7 linked regions of the Macaca fascicularis genome follow. The protein of the gene in region 6 binds, or shares a complex with, the protein of the main gene of each other region. Links are inferred from orthologs where the notes say so. Each region holds a gene or a part of one and is shown on either strand. Other genes may lie near its edges. The genes, in order: SF3A1, SF3A2, SF3A3, SF3B3, SF3B2, HTATSF1 and SF3B4.

The links.
Region 1: HTATSF1 (region 6) and SF3A1 share a complex: the UniProt entries of both Homo sapiens proteins name them as parts of the 17S U2 SnRNP complex. The link is inferred for Macaca fascicularis from reciprocal best matches to the Homo sapiens genes HTATSF1 and SF3A1.
Region 2: HTATSF1 (region 6) and SF3A2 share a complex: the UniProt entries of both Homo sapiens proteins name them as parts of the 17S U2 SnRNP complex. The link is inferred for Macaca fascicularis from reciprocal best matches to the Homo sapiens genes HTATSF1 and SF3A2.
Region 3: HTATSF1 (region 6) and SF3A3 share a complex: the UniProt entries of both Homo sapiens proteins name them as parts of the 17S U2 SnRNP complex. The link is inferred for Macaca fascicularis from reciprocal best matches to the Homo sapiens genes HTATSF1 and SF3A3.
Region 4: HTATSF1 (region 6) and SF3B3 share a complex: the UniProt entries of both Homo sapiens proteins name them as parts of the 17S U2 SnRNP complex. The link is inferred for Macaca fascicularis from reciprocal best matches to the Homo sapiens genes HTATSF1 and SF3B3.
Region 5: HTATSF1 (region 6) and SF3B2 share a complex: the UniProt entries of both Homo sapiens proteins name them as parts of the 17S U2 SnRNP complex. The link is inferred for Macaca fascicularis from reciprocal best matches to the Homo sapiens genes HTATSF1 and SF3B2.
Region 7: HTATSF1 (region 6) and SF3B4 share a complex: the UniProt entries of both Homo sapiens proteins name them as parts of the 17S U2 SnRNP complex. The link is inferred for Macaca fascicularis from reciprocal best matches to the Homo sapiens genes HTATSF1 and SF3B4.

Annotation. Positions count from the first base shown.
Region 1 is NC_088384.1:21,310,762-21,314,808, reverse strand, and holds the start of SF3A1 (splicing factor 3A subunit 1), read right to left. Parts: upstream 2,801-4,047; 5' UTR 2,709-2,800; coding exon 2,646-2,708; exon of another isoform or gene 2,564-2,645; intron 1-2,563. UniProt on the Homo sapiens protein: Component of the 17S U2 SnRNP complex of the spliceosome, a large ribonucleoprotein complex that removes introns from transcribed pre-mRNAs.
Region 2 is NC_088393.1:2,906,510-2,908,690, reverse strand, and holds the end of SF3A2 (splicing factor 3A subunit 2), read right to left. Parts: coding exon 2,157-2,181; intron 1,575-2,156; coding exon 1,506-1,574; intron 1,413-1,505; coding exon 612-1,412; 3' UTR 501-611; downstream 1-500. UniProt on the Homo sapiens protein: Component of the 17S U2 SnRNP complex of the spliceosome, a large ribonucleoprotein complex that removes introns from transcribed pre-mRNAs.
Region 3 is NC_088375.1:196,936,349-196,939,848, reverse strand, and holds part of SF3A3 (splicing factor 3A subunit 3), read right to left. Parts: intron 3,009-3,500; coding exon 2,870-3,008; intron 1,731-2,869; coding exon 1,662-1,730; intron 1,253-1,661; coding exon 1,185-1,252; intron 1,022-1,184; coding exon 914-1,021; intron 1-913. UniProt on the Homo sapiens protein: Component of the 17S U2 SnRNP complex of the spliceosome, a large ribonucleoprotein complex that removes introns from transcribed pre-mRNAs.
Region 4 is NC_088394.1:69,774,367-69,777,866, forward strand, and holds part of SF3B3 (splicing factor 3B subunit 3), read right to left. Parts: intron 3,093-3,500; coding exon 2,918-3,092; intron 1,874-2,917; coding exon 1,668-1,873; intron 1,571-1,667; coding exon 1,414-1,570; intron 1-1,413. UniProt on the Homo sapiens protein: Component of the 17S U2 SnRNP complex of the spliceosome, a large ribonucleoprotein complex that removes introns from transcribed pre-mRNAs.
Region 5 is NC_088388.1:8,334,892-8,338,391, forward strand, and holds part of SF3B2 (splicing factor 3B subunit 2), read right to left. Parts: coding exon 3,445-3,500; intron 3,225-3,444; coding exon 3,174-3,224; intron 1,951-3,173; coding exon 1,833-1,950; intron 1,536-1,832; coding exon 1,426-1,535; intron 1,076-1,425; coding exon 979-1,075; intron 813-978; coding exon 721-812; intron 300-720; coding exon 84-299; intron 1-83. UniProt on the Homo sapiens protein: Component of the 17S U2 SnRNP complex of the spliceosome, a large ribonucleoprotein complex that removes introns from transcribed pre-mRNAs.
Region 6 is NC_088395.1:142,629,745-142,633,864, reverse strand, and holds the start of HTATSF1 (17S U2 SnRNP complex component HTATSF1), read right to left. Parts: upstream 2,801-4,120; 5' UTR 2,598-2,800; intron 2,414-2,597; 5' UTR 2,353-2,413; coding exon 2,167-2,352; intron 441-2,166; coding exon 260-440; intron 1-259. UniProt on the Homo sapiens protein: Component of the 17S U2 SnRNP complex of the spliceosome, a large ribonucleoprotein complex that removes introns from transcribed pre-mRNAs.
Region 7 is NC_088375.1:111,352,029-111,356,218, reverse strand, and holds the start of SF3B4 (splicing factor 3B subunit 4), read right to left. Parts: upstream 2,801-4,190; 5' UTR 2,757-2,800; coding exon 2,723-2,756; intron 2,291-2,722; coding exon 2,162-2,290; intron 1,924-2,161; coding exon 1,381-1,923; intron 1,052-1,380; coding exon 845-1,051; intron 1-844. Other genes in the region: MTMR11 (myotubularin-related protein 11), read right to left, coding at 4,109-4,190. UniProt on the Homo sapiens protein: Component of the 17S U2 SnRNP complex of the spliceosome, a large ribonucleoprotein complex that removes introns from transcribed pre-mRNAs.

The sequences.
Region 1 (4,047 bases), on a different chromosome or scaffold from region 6:
AATGCTCAGGTGTTTTGTGAAATTCCACTGGAATGTTCAGCATTAACTATGCCATAAGTACCAATATTTTTTCTCCAGCAGCTTCTTCCCCTTAGTAAACAAAGGGTCAAATCTCTTATCTTAGAAAAATGAAGTTTCTCCTCTGCCTCCATGTTCCTTTCTGCCGCTGCCTTCTCCCGCCCCATCCTCTGGCAGCTTAACATCCTGAGTTCTCTTCAGTTTGCTGATCCCACTTCCCTGCCTCCCATTTGGTCCCCATTCATTTTAAGTGCTCTTGACAAAGTCAAAAACGACTGCCCACAGCCATTATCTGGGTGTGAATGGTGACCACTCCTTCATGAAAACTCTCAACTCCTAGACCCCATTCTTACCTGTCTTCCCATCTTGCTCACCATTCCATCCAAGTTTCCTTCCTGGTCTGTTTCACCTCCTGCTCTGTGAAGTTGGAGATCCCCGCTCCCACCGCCCAATTCTGTTCTTGGTTCTCTTCTCAGTTTTGACAGTGTCCTCCACTTCCCCTCCTGCCTCTATACAATCTGGCCCAAACTGATGTCCCAGAACACTCTTGCGTACTGAACAGCTTCGGGTCCAGCTAACTACTGGGCACTTTCATCTCTAACCTCTTTCCTCAGGAATAGCTACTCAGTCGTCCATGCCACAAAGTTGGGGCTCCTCTCTCTTCCTCAGCTTCCACACTCAATAATAATAACATTGATCAAGTTGGGCACAATGGCTTGCACCTATAATCCCGGTGAGTCAGGAGGCTGAGGTAGGAGGATTGCTTGAGCCCAGGAATTCAAGGCTTCAGTAAGCTACGACTGCAACACTTGCATTCCAGCCTGGGTGACAGAACGACACCCGGTCTCTTAAAAAAAACTTTTATCAAGCACTGAGTAGATTCCAGGTATTTTTCCCAAGCACTTTAAATATACTAATTCTTATAACTCTTATAAGAAGCCTATAAGATTAAGTACTCTTTTTTTTTTTTTTTTGAGACTCTGTCTTGCTGTCGCCCAGGCTGGAGTGCAGTGGCATGATCTTGGCTCACTGCAACCTCCGCTTCCCAGGTTCAAGTAATTCTCTCCCGAATAGTGGGGATTACAAACATGCACCACACCTGGCTAATTTTTTTTTACTTTTAGTAGAGACAGGGTTTTGCCATGTTGGCCAGGCTGGTCTCAAACTCCTGACCTCAAGTGATCTGTCTGCCTCGGCCTCCTAAAGTGCTGGAATTACACGCGTGAGCCACTGGGCCGGCCAAGTACTCTTAATATCTCCACATTACAGATGACAAAACTGAGAGATGGAGAGCTTAATGTCCAACTGGCAGAACCAGAATTCTAACACACCACTCTGGCTGGAAAGCCTGCCCACCCCTCTGCCCTAATCTAGGCCAGGCCTTCAGCCCCTTGGAATAGCGTGACTGGCCTCCCCTCCTCGTAGTGACTCTCCACATGCCTGCCTACCTGAATTTCTGAAACACAAATGTCACTATTTGGCTTAAAACTCTCCCTTTTCTTCCCATTGTCTACAAGGAAACGTTCAAATCCTAAGAAAGAATTGCATCTCCTGTCACCACGCTCTATGCTTCAACACTTGTTCATTTACTCTTGATCAGAGACACCGTTTGATTCTTAACTCAGTGTCTTTGTGCATATTATCTGGCCATTACCTTATTTTCTCCCAACGCCTGGGAAAATGCCAGGGACACACAGGTACTTAAATATCTGTGGAAAAGGCATGGCTTCTTCAGTCATGTCCCCCTCATTCCAAACCCAAAGCAATGATCAGCATATATGCTCAATAAATATTTGCTGGATGAATAAAGGATGTTATTTCCCTTCCCTAGTCACCTGCCTGGCAAACTCCCATTCCTTCTTCTAAAAGAAATTTACCTCTCACTCCCGTGGGCTTCCCTACCTTAATATCCCTTCTACTCCAGCAAGCAATGTTGACTAGATTTGTACCTGAAACTTCTATCACAGGGCATATCACACCGTACTACAATGGTTTATACACATTTGAGATTCGAGAGGTTTATTAAGGGCGGGCTGACACTGTATCATTGACGGCCATCGGAACAATAAACATTTGGTGAGCATTCTCGTGTATCTGTCTTCTCGTTAGCCTGTGAGCTCCCCGTGCCCTATTCATTCCGGTAACGTGGGAGCGTGGCACGGTGTCTGGCTTGGGGCAGACACCGAAATAGATGCTGAGAATTAACATCCAAAGATGTACCGCCCAGGCTGGGAAAGTGGGCATTACTGGGGAAAGGCTGGGGCCGGTGGCCCCAACTGCCACAGAAGATCAGAGGATGGGCTGGATCAGCGCCTCTCACACTTACAAATCAATCACCTTAGGATTTTGTTCAAATGTAAGATCCCTATTTAAAAGGTCTAGGGCGGAGACTCCACATTTCTAAGCTCTCGGCTCGTGCCGACGCGGCTGCTCCGCGGACCACTTTGAGAACCCCGTTCAGAGCAGCTGGTTTCGTTACCAGAACCACCACCATAGCGCGGGAAGCGCGCAGCCTCCTGGGATTTGCAGTCCCTCCAAGCCCTTCATAGCGGCCGCTTATTCCCGCTCAAGTAAGTAGCGCCCAGGCCCACGCTCCGGCTGCAGGTTGAGGGGCGGGGGAGAGGTACCTGTTTGGGCTCAGTGGCCACGGGCGGCGGCGGGGGCACCGCCTGCACGGGTCCGGCCGGCATGACTGCGACGCTGAGGGCTGCCAGTCCGCCTCGGTGTTGGTGAGGAGTGCCGCCTCAAGACAGCCTCCCCGCTCGAACAGTACGACGAGCTCGCAAAATGGCGGCAGCCGAGCGAGTTGTGGCCGCGAAGGTAAGACTGACGCACTTCCGGGACCGCCCCCTCGCCGTGGCGCGCTTCCTGCTCCTCCCCGCGGGCACCGCGGCATCCGACGCCGTTGTCAAGGCAGCGGCTGGAGCTCCGGGCTAGGGGTTTCCGGGGTTCCCGGGAGCCGCAGGCGCGCCGGGGGCAGTTCCCGGAGCTGACCGGATACAGAGGCTGAAACCGCGACGCCGAAGACAGGTGAGATGTTCTACGTCACCCGCCGGACCCCCGCCGCACTCAGCTCGCGCCTCCTTTACTCTACAGTGCCTCGCTCAGTGCCAGTGCCTCGCTCCCTTCGACACCGCCTTCCAAGAGCCCAGCTCCCTCCCATTGGCCTCTCATTTCGGAGAGCCCCTGTGCCCTAAGGCTCGCCGCCTCAGAGCCCCGCTTCCCTATTCCCTTAGTCCCCCCTTTCATTTCAGGCCCACATCCTCCAAGCCGCTCTTCCAAATCCTACGCCCTTAATTCCCTTTTCCCATAGGCCTGCCTTTTCTTGCTTCCACCCCCTGCCTTCCGTAGTCCTGATCTCAAGCCTCACTGGGGCCTCCCTCTCAAATCAAGGCTGCTGCTTTTTCTTTCTTTTTTGTTTTTTTCTGAGACAAGGTCTTGTTCTGTCACCCAGGCTGGAGTGCAGTGGCGCGATCTTGGCTCACTGAAACCTCCGCCTCCCGAGTTCAATCGCTGAGTTCAAGCAATTGTCCTGCCTCAGCCTCCCGAGTGGCTGGGACTGCAGGCGCCCACCACATCCGGCCGTGTGTGTGTGTGTGTGTGTGTGTGTGTGTTTTGTAGAGACGGGGTTTCACCACGTTGGCCAGGCTGGTCTCGAACTCCTGACCTCAAATGATCCTCCCGCCTCGGCTTCCCAAAGTGTTAGGGTTACAGGCGTGAGCCACCGCGCCCGGCCAGTTTTAAAATTTTTTTTGTAGGGACGTGGGAGGACGTCTCCCTATGTTGCCCAGGCTGGTCTCAAACTCATGGAGTCAAGCAATCCTCCCACCTGGCCTCCCAAAGTGCTGGGGTTACACGCATGAGCCATCACTCAGGGCTGCTGCTTTAGGCTTCACCCCTCACTCTCACAGGTGCGCCCCTGCAAGCTATGCAGCTCGCTCCCCAGAGGCCTACCTCGACTCCTGCCGGCTTTCTCTCCCTCTCCTGAGATCCCCACCCCCTTCCTCCCCTCCTCAACTCCGGAAAGCC
Region 2 (2,181 bases), on a different chromosome or scaffold from region 6:
CTCCCCACAGCGATAGAGCTGGGCCTGATTTGTCAACATGCTGTCCTTGAGGGCCCGTCCCCAGAAGGCACAGGAGTGGGAACCAGGCTGGGAGTGATGGCCAAGCAGCCAGACTAGACAGCGCTGGGGGCGGGGGGCCCAGATGTCCTGGGTGCTAAGGGGTGGGCCTGGAGGAGGAGGGTCCCAAGTCAGTGGGGGCGCCCTGTCCCTGCTCACCCTCCCAACCCCTGGTAGGCTATCTGGAGACCCCAAGGATATCACAAGAGTCTGCTCTTCCCTCCCCAGGACAGGACCCCAGACCCCCTCCTAGCTGGCTGGTGGAGTCTGTCCTCCACCAGGCCACCTCCAAGGTACAGCTGTCTCTCAGGCCTCCCACAGGTGTCTCCCGGCAGGCCCCAGGCCCTCCCCAGTCGGCGCAAACTCAGGGATGGTGCTGTGCCTGGCACTCCCACACAGCACTGACAAGGGAGGGCGGCGCTGCAGACATCAGTGCACTCGGGGCTGGGGAAGGCTGTTTAATGAGCAGGGGGCGGTACAAAAGAGCAGCCTTCTCTCGATGGCAAAAGGCAGGAGCACCTGGCGCTGAGCTTGCTGGGGGAGGGAGCAGCTTCTCAGTTGGTTGGGGGAGGGGGAGGTATGTTCCCTGGGCCTTCGGAGGGGAGTGGGGGCCTCAGCATTGGGGGCATGGGAGTTGGGGGGTGTACCCCAGGATTTGAGGGGTGAACTCCAGGAGGCTGAGGGTGGACCCCAGGAGCTGATGGATGGACCCCGGGAGGTTGGGGGTGGACTCCCGGGGCCTGAGAGTGCATCCCTGGGGCTGGTGGGTGCACCCCCGGGGCCTGAGGGTGAACAGCAGGGGCTGCTGGGTGTACCCCTGGGGCCTGGGGGTGAACCCCCGCTGATGGGGGAGGATGGACCCCCGGGGCTGGTGGGTGAACCCCAGGGGCTGGTGGGTGGACTCCAGGGGCTGGTGGGTGAACCCCGGGGGCTGGAGGGTGAACCCCGGGGGCTGGAGGGTGGACTCCGGGAGCCGGGGGGTGGACCCCAGAGGTTGGTGGGTGGACCCCAGGGGCTGGGGGATGGACGCCAGGAGCTGGGGGATGGACCCCAGGAGCTGGGGGATGGACGCCAGAGGTGGGGGGATGCACCACTGGGGCCGGGGGGTGGACCCCTGGAGCTGGCGGGGGTAGCTGGGGTGGTCCCGGGGGCCCTGAGGGTGCAGGCCCCGTGGGGGGCATGGGTGGCAGAGGTAGGCCTCCCGGCGGTGGCGGTGGCAAAGACTCGGGCAGCGGTGGCCGAGGGGGCAGACCATTCATCAGCGGAGGTGGAGGCCGCTTCACCCCAGGGGGGCCGGCGGGGAGGCTGGGCGGAGCCGGGGGCTTCTCCATCTTAAAGTGGAACTGGAGGAAGAACTAGAGAGACGGAGAAAGGTTCAGCAGGCACGGGCAGGGCTAGGGCCACCGGGGCTGGGCAGGAAGGAGCCAAGCTCAGGGCTAGCCACTCACCTGCTTGGTCTCCCGGTTCCAGTGTGTCCAGAACTTGCCCTCCGCCTTGTCAATCTCTCTGCTCGGCACCTGGGAAGGCGGGGGACAGAGAGGGCTCCTGGTCCCTGTGACCTCAGGGTAGCCATCAGGCAGGGAGCCTGAGGCGTTAGCCTCCCCGGCCCGGACTCCACCCTGGGAGCCCAAGAGAAGGCCCCGGCCTGGTAAGACTTTCGATGGGCACAGGGTTCAGTTCTGGAGTGACACAGACCCGGCCTCCACGCTAGCACACGCTAGCCCCCGCCCTGGACAGGCACCGTTTGTATTGTTTCCTGATGGCTGCTTTGTCCAGGCGTAGGCACAGGCTGTGGGAAGCCCTCCAGCAGCCTAGACCAAGAAGCGAGGTCACTTGGCGAAGGCCTCACAGGCCCAGCGCTCAGCCCTGCCGGCCTCCCTTCTCCATGGGCACAGTGGAGCCCAAGCAGGCCCCCTCCTGCAAAGCCCAATGGGAGGGGTACCCTGCCCAGCCTGCACAGACCCTTCTGGCTCCGTCTCGGGGATCCCAGGGGACCCCACAGCCTGATAGGAGGGGCGCCCTGCCCAGCCTGTGCAGATCCTTCTGGCTCGCACATCTCAGGGGGCCCTGGGGCCCAGGGGACCCCGCAGCCATGCTACCTTGAAGGCGATGGTCTCATAGGGC
Region 3 (3,500 bases), on a different chromosome or scaffold from region 6:
GGAGCTGCAGACCAGCCTGGCCAACATGATGAACCCCCATCTCTACTAACAATACAAAAAATCAGCCATATGTGGTGGTGTGTACCTGTAGTCCCAGCTACTCAGGAGGCTGAGGCAGGAAAATCCTTTGAACCCAGGAGGTGGAGGTTCCAGCCAGTAAGCTGAGATTGCACCACTGCACTCCAGTTTGGGTGACAGAGTGAGACTCTGTCTCAAAAAAAAAAAAAAAAAAAAAGAAAATACCTTGTCTAGGCCGGGCGCGGTGGCTCAAGCCTGTAATCCCAGCACTTTGGGAGGCCGAGACGGGTGGATCACGAGGTCAGGAGATCGAGACCATCCTGGCGAACACGGTGAAACCCCATCTCTACTAAAAAATACAAAAAACTAGCCGGGCGAGGTGGCGGGCGCCTGTAGTCCCAGCTACTCGGGAGGCTGAGGCACGAGAATGGCGTAAACCCGGGAGGCGGAGCTTGCAGTGAGCTGAGATCCGGCCACTGCACTCCAGCCTGGGCGACAGAGTGAGACTCTGTCTCAAAAAAAAAAAAAAAAAAAAAAGAAAATACCTTGTCTAAGTATGTAGCTCAAGAATTAGATTCAACTTTACCAAAAATAAGCTTAGAAAAATAGTTCTTGAACCTATTTAGCCTTTTAGCCTCTATAACCTATTAAAGGTGCCAAGAACACGGTTTCAAACTTAGAAACTTGATGTGCTCTCAATCAGATGAATACAGACAGTCCTTTGTTTATATTAACAGTGATAGTATTCTCTATTAGCAAAGAGAAAGAGCAGACTGGATCTCTGTCGACCAATAACGGGGATAAAGCAGGCTTTAAAGTCTCCACTGTGGTTAAAAATTCGGCATGGGAATAACATTTAAAAGCCACAAGCAGCAGTGCTACCCCAGCCACTCACCGCTTGGTGCCCTTTGACTTGGGATTTTTGGCAAACAAAGAGGTATCAAGTGACTCCAGGGACTTTCCTTTGGTGCTGAAGAGTCTCTGGGCTCGCTCTTCTAGGGTCCTAAGGAGACAGGATGGCAAAGGATTTCAGGGTTACTTTACCACAGAGGCTCGCTTGTTTTTGCAGTGTGGAGCAACAGAAAAAAAATGGAATTAGAGCTACTTAGAAGACTGTGCAAACACACAGCAAATTGAATAGTTTTGATAGAAAAACCATTCCTTACCCGCCACATTTCAAGCCTAAAGCTAAGAGAGCAGATTTCAATCTGTCCAAACCCAGAGAGGCCAACTCCTGTACAAAGAAGAGAAAAATTACAATATTACATTAACAGATTTTTGGGAAACCCCAAATGCAGGCCAGAGGGTGGGTGTTCCTGAGGCTGTGGCAGGACCACACATTTCATAGCCAATCTGACAGTAAGTCTAAACTCTCCAGAGGACTGAATCTGTAATTATCTTCAGACTTAACCATACTGGTAGTGTTCCATTTACTTTACTACAGCTTAATGTAGTTAGAATGATTATTTCAGTTTCCCATGTAGTAATTTTTTTCTTTTTACTTTGCTACTTTCTTTGTAGATGCTTGATCCCAAGAAATAGTGCCTTATCACAACACAACCATGGTATTAAAGACAGCAGAGCAGTCTTTAAAGATAGAAAAATAGACAGGAAGAACAGTACTACTGCTGAAGGAAACATACCTCCCAGGAGGAGAATGCAGAGAGGTCAAGATGGGCTCCAGCATGGGTCAGAGCACTGCTTGTCTCTTTCTGGAAAGAACAATATGGTATTTATTAAGATCCAGGTTTAGGCCAGGCGTGCACTGCTTGTCTCTTTCTGGAAAGAACAATATGGTATTTATTAAGATCCAGGTTTAGGCCAGGCGTGGTGGCTCACACCTGTAATCTCAGCACTTTGGGAGGTCTAGATGGGTGAATTGCTTGAGTTCAAGAGTTAGAGACCAGTCAGAGCAACATGGTGAAATCCCATCTCTACAAAAAAAACACATGAATTAGCTGGGCATGGTGGCATGTGCCTGTGGTCCCAGCTACTCAGGAGTCCAAGGCAGGAAGATCTCTTAAGCCCAGGAAGTTGAGGCTGCAGCAGTGAGGTATGATCATGCCACTACACTCCAGACTAGAAGCCAGATGGAGACTTTGTCTCCCAAAAAACAAAACAAAGCAAAACAAAACAAACAAACAAACCACCAGGTTTAGGATGAAGGTAAGGTTGGTCCACATTCTCTCCCTGGAGAGTTCAGGAAAAACCCATGTTTATCCCCAGAAGTGAGAATGTAGATTCCTAACATATGATCTGATAGGCTCTTGGTTGGCAGGAACCACGTAACAGTAATGATGTGATTGGTGAAAATCTGGGCACAGTCAAAGGCAAGTGGACCCTGACAGTCTTGCTCCAAAGTACACACAAAAAAACCTCACATACGGCCGGGTGCGGTGGCTCATGCCTGTAATCCCAGCACTTTGGGAGGCTGAAGTGGGCAGATCACCTGAGCTCAGGAGTTTGAGACCAGTCTGACAAACATGGAGAAACCCCGTCTCCACTAAAAACACAAAATTAGCTGGGTGTGGTAGCGGGTGCCTGTAATACCAGCTACTCGAGAGGCTGAGGCAGGAGAATTGCTTGACGCAGGAGGTGGAGGTTGAGGTGAGCCGAGATCCTGCCATTGTACTCCAGCCTGGGCAACAAGAGCGAAACTCCATCTCCAAAAAAAAGAAAAAGAAAAACAAACAAACAAAAAAACATAGCATACTTGGCAGGGAATACCTCATTGTCACAAGTGATACCAAGGAATTGATACCTAATGCCCTAAAGTGGAAGCTCAAGATAAAGGAAAATAATTACTTCAATTCCTTGGCATGTCCATCATTCACACCCCACTGAAGCTCACCGGCCATCCAGGAAAGGTTCCATTCTCCCATTTCTTCTCAAACTCAGCCTGAATCTTCCCAAAAAGTTCATTCTGATCTTGGAGAGGCTTCACTCTATCTGTGTAGTCCTGAAGGTACTCGAGCAGCATCTCTAGGTATCTACAGAGGAACATACAATGCAGAGAAAGCAAAAAGGGTTTCTATTTTTGCTATCTTGTTATTCCCTGTAGAATATATAGTACTTATAATTCTAGTAATGCTATCTTTTTAATGCTTTTTTTTTGTGAAACGGACTTTCGTTCTTCTTGCCCAGGCTGGAGTGCAACGGCACAATCTCAGCTCACCACAACCTCCCGGGTTCAAGTGATTTTCCTGCCTCAGCCTCCCGAGTAGCTGGGATTACAGGCATGCGCCACCACGCCCGGCTAATTTTTTTTTTTTTTTTTTTTGAGACGGAGTCTCGCTCTGTTGCCCAGGCTGGAATGCAGTGGCACAATCTCGGCTCACTGCAAGCTCCGCCTCCCAGGTGCACGCCATTCTCCTGCCTCAGTCTTCCAAGTAGCTAGGACTACAGGCGCCCGCCACCACGCCCGGCTAATTTTTTTGTATTTTTAGTAGAGATGGGGTTTCACCGTGTTAGCCAGATGGTCT
Region 4 (3,500 bases), on a different chromosome or scaffold from region 6:
TTCCTGGGCTCAGGTGATCCTCCCACCTCAGCCTCCCGAGTAGCTGGGACTACAGGCATGTGCCATCACGCCCAACTAATTATCTGTATTTTCTGTAGAAACTGAGTTTCACCACATTGTCCAGGCTGGTCTCAAACTCTTGGGCTCAAGTGATCTGCTCGACTCAGACTCCCAAAATGCTGGGATTACAAGCGTGAGCCACTGCACCCAGCCTAGTGACATCTCAGTTGTAAAGGAGAGACAAATTTTATACGCAAAAGGGTCTATGAAGTATTTCTTAGAGGATACTCCCCTTATGGTAGGGTTGAAGGAATCCACATGCTGTCAGTGTGGAGGAGAATATTATTTTTATTTTAATAATTATGGTAAAACAGACATAACATAAAGTTTACCATCTTAATCCTTTTTTTTTTGAGACAGAGTCTCACTCTGTCGCCCAGGCTGGAGTGCAGTGGCGCAATCTCAGCACAGTACAACCTCTGCCTCCCAGGTTCAAGCAATTCTCCTGCCTTAACCTCTGGAGTAGCTGGGGTTACAGGCGCCCACCACCATGCCTGGCTGATTTTTTATTTTTAATAGAGATGGGATTTCACCACATTGACCAGACTGGTCTTGAACCCCTGACCTCAGGTGATCCGCCCACCTCGGCCTTCCAAAGTGCTGGGATTACAGGAATGAGTCACCATGCCCAGTCATTTTTAAGTATACACTTCAGTGGCATTAAGCACATTTACTGTTGTGTAACTATCATCTCCAGCTTTTTTTTCATCTTCCCAAACTGAAACTCTGTACCCATTAAACAGTAACTTCCCAGAGAAGGCAGATGGAAAAGAACACTAAATCTTTTTTTTTTTTTTTTTTGACAGTCTCACTGTGCCAACCAGGCTAGAGTGCAATGGTACAATCTCAGCTCACTGCAACCTCCGCCTCCCGGGTTCAAGTGATTCTCCTGCCTCAGCCTCCCAAGTAGATGGGATAACAGGTACATGCCACCATGCCTGGCTGATTTTTATATTTTTAGTAGAGACGGGCTTTCATCATGTTGGTCGGGCGGGTCCCAAAGTGCTGGGATTACAGGTGTGAGCCACCGCACACAGCCAGAATATTAATTATTTAAACTGCTGAATTTTGGTCACAAATTGTTGCCCACTTATTAAAACAGTAAGAAAGGGACTGATTCAATGTGCATCCATCTCCCCATTATGGGTGGTTAGCACAAAGCCTTACTGTGGAATGCACAGGCACAAGAGCATCACCGCAGCTAGAAGGCCCCAGGATTTTCCATGTGCTGGTAAGAGATGGATTGGAATCAAGGAGCTGGTCCCCAAAAGACCTGACCCATAACATAAGCAAAAGTAAGAGAATTCAATAGGACTTAAGATCTAGGAGAACCACTCACTGGCTGATTCCTACCTTGTGCAAAAACTCCAGTTTTTCCCCATTGTTCACAAGCTTGTAAGTATAGACGAAGCCCCCTGCCACAGATCGGGGGTTCAGTATCAGGTCCTTGGCCACACCCACCAGCACATACCAGTCTTCACCAGTGTTGGAGAACCTGCACACAGCCACACTACACACAGAGTAAGAGGCAAGAGTAAGGCCTTCGTCAAAACCCAGAGAGCTCCTGTTCCAGGCTACCAAACCCTGAACTGTCCTGGGCTCCTTACCTAAAAGCTGCCTCATTCTGTTCCAGCTGGACAAGGTCCAGTGTGTTCCCCTGAATGGGATTCATCACTCGGATCACAGAGGCCCACTGCCCATTGCCAGCCTTGGGAGCTCCAAAGATAGATTCAGGGAGGTTTTCATTGAGGAATGCTGCTGCCATCTCTGCGGCCAGCTCCCGCTCATCCTCCCCTGCTGCTTCCACCATTTCCTAAACCCAAAAAACCAAACAACTGAGTTGGCATGTTCAGAGGTAGGGGCTGGCTGAGAAGAGGATAGGTAGCAAGAACACTCCAAGGGGTTTTTTCTTTTTTTTTTTTTTTGAGAAGGAGTCTCGCTCTGTTGCCCAGGCTGGAGTGCAGTGGCCGGATCTCAGCTCACTGCAAGCTCCGCCTCCCGGGTTCACGCCATTCTCCTGCCTCAGCCTCCCGTGTAGCTGGGACTACAGGTGCCCGCCACCTCACCCAGATAGGTTTTTTTTTGTATTTTTTAGTAGAGATGGGTTTTCACCCGTGTTAGCCAGGATGGTCTCGATCTCTTGACCTCGTGATCCGCCCATCTCGGCCTCCCAAAGTGCTGGGATTACAGGCTTGAGCCACCGCGCCCGGCCAGAAACTCCATTTTTTAATCCAACCCATCTGATTTCCCCTACTAAGACTACTCTGTCTCCACTCTTTAAGGCTGGATACAGTTCTATGTGGTTTAGCTATTTGGTTTTTGCTAGGCAATGAGTTCTAGAAAGAGCTGGTATTGTGGAGAACATGAAAGCTGTCTCCTTTGGGCCCAAATCCAGGAAATACAGTCTATTTTGGAAGCTCAAAGACTGGAGAATTCTGTTTCAGAGAGGGAACTTAATTGTGAATAAATGGAGGTCAGAGTATAGTCCTGGGTTACAAGAAAGGCTCTAACATGAAGTATTTTGGGGCAAAGGCCTCTGCTTAAAGAAGCTGAAAAGAGCCTAGATCTTTAAAAACAAAGAATATAACAACAATTACAGGAGTTTAAACTTTTGACAGAGTCTCATGTCCAGAGTGCCACTGGTATGCAGTGGAGTGTGCCAACATACCAGGAGTGCACCAACACACCAGGCTATCTTTCAAAATTTTTAATAGAGGTGCGGTTTTGCTATGTTGCCCAGGCCGGTCTCAAACTAGCAATCCTCCCATCTCAGCCTCCAAAAGTGCTGAGCAGTTTAAACTTTTCAACATAATTTCACAAATCTTTTAACAGAACCCCTGAACGTTAGTCTCATTACCTCTGCCATCTGCTGCTTTCTCTGAGCTTTTGTGGCCTCAGTGTAGGCATTGTGGTCCGTTTCAATGATAATAAGGTTGTTACTCTCAGGGTGGATGACAAATTTCCTGGGTGTGTACTGCAGTGGGAAGGCTACTTGATTGAAGACAGCACCGAGCTTCTCTAATGCCAAAATGCTATGACAGAAAAGCAAGGCAGTTACTTAATACTCACTCAGGACCTAGAAATTGGTGGTGAAATAGGCTTTGAGCAGTCAGTAAACACATCAATCCCTGAAGCTCTAACGCTGGCATTAGGCAACATTAAACAACAGCCTCCTAATCTAGAAAACTGCACTGCAGACAGAGAGATCCGGGAAGGGCCTTCCCATTTGGCAACACCCTACCACAATTCATGGCAATTCTAGTTCTCACCAATGAAACACAAACGATTGTCAAGATTTTTTTTTAATCACTCTAATGATAATAAAGCGCCCAATCCCAAATTTGTTGTGAACACTGCAATTACCTGAACATATATGGTATCTGTAGTGACTGTGCTTCATAAAATAAAGTGGATGCCTTTGTGAATAAAAATCACCTCAG
Region 5 (3,500 bases), on a different chromosome or scaffold from region 6:
TGCCTGTTCACTGCTGCCTCGCACCCACCTCTGAGCCCCTTCCCTGTTTGGCACTGCCCCTTCCGAGCACGCTCTCCTTGTACCTTAAAAGCCTCAAAGATCCTCTTAAAGAAGATAAAGTTGGGCTCGTAAATTTCAGGTTCTTCAGTCACATACTCAATCTCAACATCAGCTGCTGGGGAGTCAGAGCCACGGGATCGGGTTGAGTCTTTCTCCCGGTCCCCAGAGCTCTCAGAGGACACCCCTCGCACCCGCTGGGGCTTTTTCTTCTTCTTTCGGTTCCTGCGCTTACGGTTTTTCTGTCAGGAGGAGGAAAACCAGCTGGGTCAGGGAATCCAAGTACTGTGCCAGCACCCCAACCCCTAAACTCCTCCCCCGGTCTCCCCCACAGCTCAACGGTCAGGCTTTTCGGAGGCCATCTCATGAAGTGGCTGCGAAGGGGCCTTGGAGGCAGACTCCAAAGTTCTGCCACTCACAAGCTGTGTGCCTTTGGGTAAATTACTGTGCGTCTCAGAACCTCAGCTTTTTCAGCTGTAAAATGTAGGCATGCATAGTACTTGAAACTCAAAAGCAATTAAATGAAAAATATCTGTAAGATGCTGAGGGTGGAAATTGGCACAAAACAGAAGCTATTACTTACTGAACACTTATAAACTGTGTTATTTCCGTACCCAAGTCCCATCTCCTGCCTTTCCTTCCAGACTCAGCTCCAACCCCTACCTCCTTTTTAGATACGGACACTGTGTCCTCCTCAGTCTCTGACGCTGACTGGCCCAGGGATGAGCGAGCATCTGTTTCCATTTCCTCTTCCTCTGTAAGGAAGAAGGTGGTAACGAGTCTTCATGGTGCCACTGCGCCCTGCACTCATTCACAGTAACCTGCCTTTACCAAGAGGCAAGGGAAAGGGACAGAGGGACGAGGACTCAGCTCAGCCTCTCCAGGTTCTGTGGCTACAGCCTCAGGACGCCTGGCACTCACCCTGTTGAGAGTTCATCTCTTCCTGGCGGCTCTCCTTCAGCTGCAGGATCTTCTCCAAAGCCTGTGGGATCTTGGGGCCCACAGAGGGGTCATCCATCTGCCAGAGACAACCGGTCAGAGAAGGCGAATCACAGTGCCCTTTTCCCACCAGCTTCTACCTCTTGGACTAGAAAGGCTGCTGCCCAGGTGATGTAAGCAGCAGAGAGTGGGCAACACCAACTGGGCTCAGTGAGGTTCAGTGTTCCTCAGAGGGACCCCAAGACTCTGCCTCAGTAATGTCTCCCCAATCCCTCTGCTGTACCCTTAGTTTAAATAAGTACGGCTCCCCACTACCCCCAGGAATTTAAGTCCCCCCATCTTCTCACAGAACCCTTCTCTAAAAATCCAAAAATAGTCCCCTCCTAAACTACCACTCTCTTATACCTAGGAGGAAATCGTTAGTCTCACCTCTCTGTTCTCATCTCCAGGGGGCGGTGGGGGACCACGAGGCCGGGGAACAGGGGCTCCCATGGGCAAAACTGTAGGAGTGGGGCCCACTGGGCCCACTGGAGCAGCTACTGAGAGACGGGAAAAAGAAATCCAATGTCAGAAGAGACAAAACACTCACATACAAAATTCCCTCCCTTGCTAAAAGGGCGATGGTGAACCTGCGGGGAGGGGGGCGTGTGGCGGGGCTTTCGGGGTGCTGATCATGGTCCAGGTGCTGGTTGTACGGGTGTGTTCAGTGTGTAAAAAACCATTAAACTGTATGTTTATTATATATGCTCTTTTTAAATGGGATAGATACTTTAAAAGTCTTTTTAAAAATGTCTAAATCACTTTTCTTGCTCTTCCCCTCCATCCCAGGGTCTCACCTCGAGGACCCAGAGGAGTGCGCACACCAATCTGGCCCATGTCTTGTGGGGGCCGAGGGACTGGGGTGCCCATCTTGGCAATCTCCTGCTGTCGTTCCTGCTCCAATAACACAGCTGCCTACGGGAGGGAAGTGGGAGTAGACACTGCCTGAAAACTAGTTTGGCAGGCAGCCCCTGGCAAATGCATTCTTTCAGCGGGTAATGGGCCCAAGGAGAACAATCACAAACCCCTTGGGTGCTGACATCCCCTCCACCCCCACACTTCCAGGCTACTAATCCAAATGGAGGAGCCCTCTCATCACAACGGAAAATCCCTAGAAATAACACCAAGGAAAACCCCAGGAAACTTCTGGTTCCAAGCAGGGAATTTCATATTGAGCCAAACAGTGCCTTCTACTTTTCAGAGAGTTTTCTTCCCCAAAAGATACATTAGAAACTTTTGAGCTCTTTTCTTATATCTACCCCTCAAGATCCAGCACAATCTGGGCAAAGACAGTACTTTATCCACAGGTTGAGACTTGTGGTTTTTTGTTTTTTTTTTTTTTGAGACAAGGTCTGGCTCTGTTGCCTAGGCTGGAGTACAGTGGCATGATCTCAGCTCACTGCAACCTCTGCCTCCCCAGCTCAAGCCATCCTCCCACCTCAGCCTTCCAAGTAGCAAGACTACAGGCACGCGCCACCACACCTGGCTAATTTTTGTATTTCTGATAGAGACAGGGTTTCATCATGTTGGCCAGGCTGGTCTCGAACTCCTGAGCTCAAGCAATCTGCCCACCTCAGCCTCCCAAAGTGCTAGGATTACAGGTGTGAGCCACCACGCCCAGCTCATACTTGTTGCTTTTAATGCTCAGTTTTTAATACTCCTGAGTAATCCACTGCGTAATGACTAATGCAACGCACCTCTGGGGCCAAATATCTTATATAACATTCCCAGACTTACAGTCCTATTTTGTCTAAATCCAATACAAATAACTCAATTACCCAGAGTCCTATCTAGAATGATGTCATGTAAGGCGAGCAGAAGTCAGCATGCTCTTTTTGAATAGGTCGGAAGGTAAATACTTTAGGCTTTATGGATTACCATATGGACTCTGGTACATATTTTTGTTTGGGTTTTCTTATAATCCTTAAAAAATTTTAAAGTTGTTTTTAGCTCACAGGCCATGCACATACAGGCCACAGGTCATAGTCTGTCAATTCCTGAACTTCAAGAAAAATTGAATGCTTTGGAAGACACTAGTACTTAGTTGGGAACAAAACTTGATTGGTGCATTCGAAGCAATACAAATGACAGCCAATGGATTGGACCATGAGGTCAAAGGTTAGGGGGAGGGGTATTACCCGCTTCTGCTGCTCCAAGAGCTCATGTTCCTTCAGCGAATGATCTCCCTGCTTAAAAAAGAAAACAAGTTCATACCAGCACCAATACCCAACGGGCCAATCTGCCACAACTCTTGCTTCTTGAGATCCTCTTCCAGTCAAGGGCCCATGTTCCAATATTTAGTCCCCACCTTCCCAGAAGCCTTAGTTCTAGGACCCAGCTTTCTCTTAAGGCTCCACTGCCCCTTCAGGGACCTAATGAGGCCCAGGCCAGGGCTTCCACCTGCCCTACCTGCTTGGCACGTTCCTCCTGCTGCATCAGCAATGCCGCCTGCTGCTGAGCCAACT
Region 6 (4,120 bases):
AAGACCAAGATAAACTAACTCAAATCACTACCCAGCTTTCAAAGGATTTAAATCTTTTGACAAATAATTAGTTTTAGAGCCCTATCTGGGAAAAATGATGGCCAGTTTATCTTGATTCTTTATAACTCTGACACCACCTTTAAGAAAAAACTCACCTTATTCCTTCAAAGCTATTATAATTCTCGGAAAAGCAACTGTACATATGCACACCCATATTTTTAATTTTTACACTTAAAATTTGTAAGCCAGAACCACTTACCTGACTCAGCCTTTCTTTTTTCTCCCTTCTTTCTGGGATCAGTGGGTTCTGAGGCTTTTTCTTGTGGAGGTTCCTCTGCAGTTCTAGCATGGACATCTTCAACATTTGCGGTAGAACTAGATGCGCCATCATTAGAGAAGCCATAATTGGCCTGATATGTAGCAATGAAATCTTCAGTGATCTAAACAAGCAATTCAGCAGACCCAGACAGAGAAATTCAAAATTATTTCCACCCATAAGAAGTTTAAATTGTTTTTACAGCATGGTTACACAACTTAAAACAGAAGTGTTTCTGTGGATAATAGTTGTAGTTATTAGAGTATAAATGCAATAGTCATCTTATATAGAAAATTGTGCATGCGGTGATAAAAAATAAGACACGAGTACTTAGACGATCAATGCAAATGTCTGAGATATGATTTAAAGCATTTTAAGTGATGCTGGCACCTTTTCTAGTTGTTTCATTTATAAATTACTACCTCTCTACAGTCTACTTAACTAAGGCTACAAATACATACAACAAAGGAAGTACCAGATAATAAAACAATAAAAACCAACAGTCAATGAATAATCTAACCACAGAATCCACTTTTCTCTTACTGTACACATGCACAAATATACGTGTACAATAAGTACTTAAATATCTGTATGCAGAGAGCACGTAGAACAGAACTCTGACTTGGTATATAAAGAATGGAGTTAACAACTGTAAAACTAAATGCTCATTTTAACTTTATCACAAATTAAGACGTTATCTTTTAGTAACAGAACAAATTAAAGACAAATCCAACTCATATCTATCTTCCTCCCCTTTGGGGGAAAAGCGTTATTGCAAAACTAAAGAAATATAGTTATACCATCATACCAATCAACATTAGGCACGCATGGAATGGGGAAAATGTAAAACCCAAAGTTTGAAGAGGTATGGGCTTCAATAACATAAAAAGATAAAGTCACACATTAATCCATTATCACACCTTTGTTAAAAGTATTCAGAATGCTGAAGAAACCAAATCTGCACTCAAAACTAGTACTACCAATACAGAAGTGAAATCGTAAATTTTAACAATCTGGAGGCATTGGAATATGTATACAAATACAGAATGGGAAAGAAAAGTTGCAAAAGAATTTTTAAAACAGCCGTCCAGTCGCGCAATGGAGACAGGTTTTGTATTATTGGCTTGCAAGTCAATTTGCGTGCTACTAGTGTGCCCTTTCCTGCTCATGAGAGCCAGATTAAAAGGGCACTTTTACCACAAAGTTTACAGAACCAAGTTTAACATTACTTATTTTACTTCGAAGCTGAAATAAAAATACTTAGCAATTTCCAAGTACTCCAAACAAATATACACAGATATTTTCCATCTGTATTCTGTGCGTCTCCAGTCTTATTCCTGTGGTTATATGGTTCAAACATATATGCTTAGGGACAAAATTTGCTAGGAAAGTAAAGCAAGGTGCAAAGAAAGTTCAATTAGTAAAGATATGTAAACAGCTACTTTAAAAAAATCAAGAAACTGCATTTTGCACATAGTACATAAGCTAAACATCTGAGTTCCTAGGACAAGTGGGGTCGGCTACCAGAAATGGACAGCTACTAAATTTGCTCTTGGTGTTTTTCCTCTTCGCAATAAAAAGCAGTCATCAATGTAATTACCAACTGTGACCTTCACAGACAAGATTAATAAAGCATAGAAAAAACTTAAAAATTACATTTAAGACACCACCCTAAAGATTTACGTTCCTTCACACATCGGTGCCCCGACAAACACAACAAAAAGAAGCGCCGCTATCCAAGGGGGCTAGGACCAAGGACCAAGGATCTCAGCAAAGCAAACGTAAGAGGAGTGCTCCGCGAGGCTGGCCAGGCGACCCGCTCTGCAGTGGCGCCCGTGGCACTCTCCTACCTTGGGGAACCAAGCCTTCTTGTCCAGGTCCCACTCGTAGGGGGTGTCCGTCGGCTGCTGCCCGAGAGAATCGGTTTCTCCGCCGGCATCGGTCTGGGTGTCACCATCCTTGCCGTCTCCGTACAATTCTTGCATTCGCAACTGCTCATCAAACTCATCGTTCCCATCCAAGTTGCTGCCGCTCATGTTTCCTACTCAGCTCAGGAGAAGGGTTCAGAAGAACTAAGAGGCCGAAATGACGCTGGAGCTGAGCAGAAAAAGGGAGGTCAATCGCGCTCTGCTCGCGCCCCGCCGCCCCCCGGCCCGCCTCCCCGCGGCGCCCCAGCAGTCCCCGGGAAATCGGGGCCGCTCGGCTGCCGCACCGCCCCCTGCTCTGCCCGCCCACCGCGCGCGCGCGCTGATGCTGGGAGCTCGGCCGCGCCGCCGCCCACCTGGCTTGCTCCGCTGGGCCTCGGCACCGCCGCTAGGTCCAGGGCGCTGCGGGAGCGCGCAGGCGCGCCGCCGCCGCCGCCGCCGCCGCCGCCGACCGGGTCTAAGGCGACTGCGGCTCCCTCGGCAACGTCAGGATATTACTTGTAAACTAAGCCCTGCTCAGGCCAACGCAGCCGCCATTGTCGGCGCGTCGCGACGTCGCGGGTCGCGCCGACACGCCCACTGTGGCGTCAAAAGGCGCCGACGCCGGCACGCGGCGCGAGACCCGGGGAGGCGGGGCGCCGGAGAGGGGGGAGCGCTACTGCCGGGCGTCGACGCCCACCGGGTTCGGCCTTGGGGCGGGGCGAGGGCCACTGGGATCCCCTGACGCCTCAAGGGCCTTGAGGTCCGCGGGGTTCCCGGCGAATCGGCCGGCCCGGGAGGGAGACGGAAGGAAGGCGTGGGAATATTCCCTCGCGGAGGTGGCCGGGCGGGTGTCGCGAGGACGCCATCTTGGGGGAGTGGGTGGGGCGGGCAGGACAAATATCTCTGGCTTCGAGAAAACGACGCGCCTCCTTCGCCCAAAGGCCCCTCCCCCGCGCAGGAACCGTGTCTTTTACTTGTTTCTTTCCGACTCCCTGGGATGGACACCGGATATTGTTCTTCTTGGTGACCTAAGCTCCTGGCACCGGCTCTGGTGTCTAATGCGGAATGAGCGAATGAATGAACGAATGAGGGGTAAAAGGGCCAACTTTTTTTTTTCTGGTGTCAGCCTTCTCCTTTATCGGTCTCATACCTTCCTCTGGCTGGAGTTTGACTCCATGGGAAGGATGGGAGGGGCTGCAGTTGCCTGCCTCTTGTACTGCAGGATTCAGTGGCGCTCGAGCTGCGAACTTGAAACTTAGACATAAATGTAAACATCCCAGTGTAAACACCAGCTTTACTGGCCGGCAAACTCCGCTTCTTTGTCATTGTTTTAGAAAGACACAGCATACTTTTGTTCTAAACAGAACTTTGTTTTCAGGAATTACACTCATTGCTGAAAATGAAAAGGTCCATATTTTTAAGTTGGGCAGGTATTTATCCAGCCCCTACTAAGTGCAGGGTTCTGCACGAGGCTCTGGCGACCCAGGAGTCGACAAGACAGGCACAGCTCAGGGGAGACAGAATTAGGATGGTTGGCAAATGACAGATATGAGATGCTGGAGGACAGCAGTTCTCAAACTTTTTGGTCCCAGGTCCTCTTTACACGAAAACATTGAAGACCCCAAAAAACGTTTGTGGATTATACTTACCAATATTTCTGCACAAAAATTAAAGCGGCCGTTAAAAAATATTAATTCATTTAAAATAATAAGGAACTCATTAGTGTAACCATAAATATCACAACCCAGGCTTGAGGGTGGGGAAAACCTTCCCAGAAGAAATTATTTCACTATTCCAGTGACCTTCACTTCTAAACATAGCAGTTGAGTACTACTTCTAGAAAATCCTGGCTCCCCACGTACCAGCTGTGTGAATCTATGGTTTCAACGATAACAAT
Region 7 (4,190 bases), on a different chromosome or scaffold from region 6:
TTAGGGAAAACTGGAGTCCAAGTGGAAGGAGATTACTACAATAAATTAAGTGTTAAATAATGAGGGAATGAGAGACTGAACTAGGGCACTGGCCATGGGGAGAGATGCCACTGATATTAAATAAGACTTGGTATTAAGAGTGGGGTGATAGGGAGCAGTCAAACATCACTCTCAGATTCATGAATTAAGCACCTGAAAAAAAAGACTGCTAGAGAAAGAATGGGTTTGAAGGAGAGGGACAGAAAAATGACGCTATCTATTAAGCAGCAGCATTAAAGCATTAAGGATCCGGAATGTCAACAGCTATGGACTAGAGATACAGATCTAGGAGGCATCAGTATATGCCCAATTAAAACTATAGATATATGCAGAAAAGAGAAACAAGCACAAAAATCTAGGCACAAGTAGACAAGAGTCTATCATGGTAGCTGAGATTAAGGAGTCAGAGGGGTGGAGGATCTAGAAAAGCAAAAGCAAAAAGAGACGAGAATTTCAAACAGGAGGACACGACTAGTTTCAAGTACATCAGAGGTCAAACTAGATAAGGAGCAGACGTGTCCCTGAGATTTGGCAATTAGGTCACCACTTTGAGCTGGAGTCAGAGAAGAGAATGGAACTAAAGGTTAAAGAAATAAAAACCAGCAAGTATAGTCTTCTTGTCAGAAAAACTTAAGAAATGGATACAGGGAGGTGGATGTTAGAGAGTATTTTGTATGTTTTTATAATAGAATGTCTGAAGGAAAGGAAACTCTGAAACTGTTACTGTTGAGGAACAAAGGGCAGCAGGGTGAGAGGTAACAGAGATGCTCTACCAAGCTCTTCCCTCCCAACAAAGCACACCTACCTGGATGGGGCATCCCACCTGGTGGGAATGGGTGAGGATGTGAGTGTCCATGACCAGGATGTCCTGCCCCTGGGGTTCCTGCCGATGGGGGGCCATGTCCTGCAGCTCCAGGAGGCATAGGTGGTGGGGGCATGGCTGGGGGTATCCCAGGTGGGAGGGCTCCAGGAGGTGGCACTGGGGGTGGGAAGGAGCCAGGAGGAGGCATGCCTATAGAGGAAATGGAAAAAGGAAAAGTTAATGGTAGTGAGGAGAAAATGTCTTTAAAGAGCCTGTCCTGATCTGGCCTCTCTGGGCAGGGTGAGCTCTTTCCCCCTCCTCCCAGTGCTCTAAAATCAAAAGCAATGTTAGAAAAGTCAACCAACTTCACCCTCCTAAAGAAACCCAACAACTTTCTTCTCCACCACTACCATCACCCCTCAGTCCTCTTCCCATCACTCACTGACTCCATGTCCCATCCCCCTTTCAGGCTCTTTTTTTCTTCCTCCTGACTCTCTCCCCCAACCTTAAGACAAACAAATTTTAACCAAAAGCTTTACCTGGTGGAGGAAGCCCAGACCCCAATGATGATACCACAGGATTGGGGGCAGAGGGTGGAGGAGGTGCATCTGCAAACAGCTGATGAGGGCGGTCAGCCTGGGAGAGCGGGTTCTGAGCTGCCAGAAGTCGTTCGGCTGCTGAGCCATGGCGCTCACCCTTGGAGTCCTTCTTGAAGGCATAAGATACGGTGATAGGGCGGTTACAGAGGTACTGCCCATTCATGGCTTCAATTGCTGCATCCGAAGCATCAAATGAAGCAAAATTAATAAAGGCATAACCTTTGGAGTTGCCTGTGTCAGGGTCCCGCATAATCTTGGGGGTTTGTAAGATGACCCCAAAAGCGCTGAAAGTATCATAAAGCAACTTCTCATCAATCTCAGGGTCCAGGTTCCCAATGAAAATGTTGGCCCCTACATCCAGGTTTTTGTTGTGGGCTGATGCCTTGTTCACCCGTATTGGCTTCCCATAGAGTTTGATCATGTTCATGATCTTAATGGCATAGTCAGCATCTTCCTCACTCAAGAATTCCACAAAGCCATAGCCTGGAGAAGTGGAGAAGAGGAGGTTAACAACATAAGAGATTGAAAATGGGGTAAAACTCATCTACCCTCTAATCACAAAGAACAAGAAAGAAACAATCTCACTTAAGAATGGTTCCAGAAATAAACTGAACAGAGGCTTAAAAGAAAGAAATACTTTAGGTTGCTCATGTTATTCCAAAACAGTTGTGAATACTGCCGGGACCCTCCGGAAGCAAACTGCCCCTTGTCATGTACTCACCTTGGTGCTGGCCAGTGACTCTATCCTTTGGCATGTGGGTGTTGACTACTGGTCCAGCCTGGAGAAACAGTTCCCACAGCAGTGGTTCACTAACCTTCTCATCCAGGCCCCCCACGTACACAGTGGCATCTGAAGGGAGGGAGCAGAAAGTTAGAGCAAGGGTGAGAGTATAACATGAAAGAAGGAGGTGATGGAAACATGAAGATGGAACCCAACCGGGGGAACTGGGGACGCGGGTAGGGGACAGGAGCAAAAAAAAAAAGTTAAACCCTTAAACTTCTCTCTCCAGGACTTCAGGAATCCTCTGAAGTCTAATTTAGTATTCTGAGTGGATTTTTTTGTTTTTTTGAGTGAGAACTCAGCAGGGGATTGGACGTAAGTATCACACACACAGGCCTCAGCCAGCACCTGGCCACCCCGCCCCCAGGAGGCACGGGGCCGGTCTCGCGCCCTCTGGGGAATGGATGAGTCCAGTCTCCCACCCCTGCAGAGGCACTTCTGGCTGTAGTAGGGGCCTCCTAGCCACGCTGAGCCCATTCCAGACTTTCCCCCTCCAGTTACCCTGGTTCCGCTCGGAGATCGGCCCGGCAGCCATGGCGAAAGAGCTCCCGCCGTCTCCCAGCAGCGGTTCCGCCTTCTGACCTCAGCACGACTTCCACTTCCGGGGCGAAGGAGGACGTAGCGGTGGGCGGAGCCGCGGAAGAGGAGGGGCCTGGAAGCGGCTGCAGCCATTTTAGGATCCTCCAAGACTTAACTCGGGTTGAGCGGTGGAGTCCTCGGCACTCGCGCAGAGGTGCCGCTGCTAGTGGCTCAGACCGTCTTAATGCACTGCTAGACTTGAAAGAATCACACTGCTCCCAAAAATGTAAATTCGAAAGCTAAAAGAACAAAAACTTCAGTTTTCATGTATTTTGTAGCCAGTGATGATGTTTTGTTGTCCAGAGAAGGATGTGCTGAAGAGTCCCCCCAACCCGAGGACTTGGCTGCTTTCAGGCGCAGAGGGAACCCTCCATCTCGCCTGCAACCTTCTTGCAGATTTGGCCTCAACAGCCCTGATTTGGGCTGGAGGTATTTGGTTTTCCCTCAGGGGAGGAGACTGCGAAATGTCTGAGCTGGAGTGACGTCTGCGCTCATCTCGTCGTAATTGCATGGGGAGGGTGAGGGCAGCTCCAAGGTGGTGTGTGACCACAGGTGAGGGGTGGATAGGATCGGAGCTCAGAGACTTCAGTCTGGATCTCTAGAACAATCTGGCCCCATCTGCCTCTAAATGGGAGACACACACAGAATCCTTTCCCCAAACTGCACTTGAATTCTGCAGAGTCTCACCAAATCCAGTTCCCCTATTTCCTTAGCAATAATACAGTAGATGCTTTCCTCTCTTGGATCATACCCACCTTTTACCCACCACTTTCCTACCTAGGAGAATCCTTTATTCAAACACAAGAAACAATGCCAGTAATGTGTATAAATACTATGCTTTAATGAGCCCCTTAAATAGAAAATTCCGCTACAAAAATACACAGGAGACAGGGTGTTTCCTGTATCCGCCTCATTCCCATAGAAAACTATAAGGGAAGAAATAGAAGTTGGAATTAAAGCAGCAGCAAGGCGAGGTGAGAATGCGATCTCTAGGCCATCTTGTTGGGACTGATGAACAGCATCTCTGATCTCACGATTTAACATCTGGTTATCCAGAAGGGATGGAATTGGTCTAAAAAAACCGATCAATTTCTGGATTGTTTTTGTTTCTTAATCTTTCAAATGACAAGAAACAAAAATATCCGTAGGAACTAAGCAAGACAGGACAAGAGTTGCAGCAGTTAACACCACCATCTGCAGCAGAAACTCAGACCTTCTTAGTGAACTTAAGGGCTGGAGTGTGAAAGCTGAGGCTGCAAGTCCAGAAACAAAAAAAAAAAAAAAAAAAGGATTAGACAGAACCGTCCTCTACCCCAGATCCCCCTCTGCCCTGCCTTTGAGAATGCCCACAATTTCAGTGGGATTGAGAATGGTATGTGGATCTCTTTTC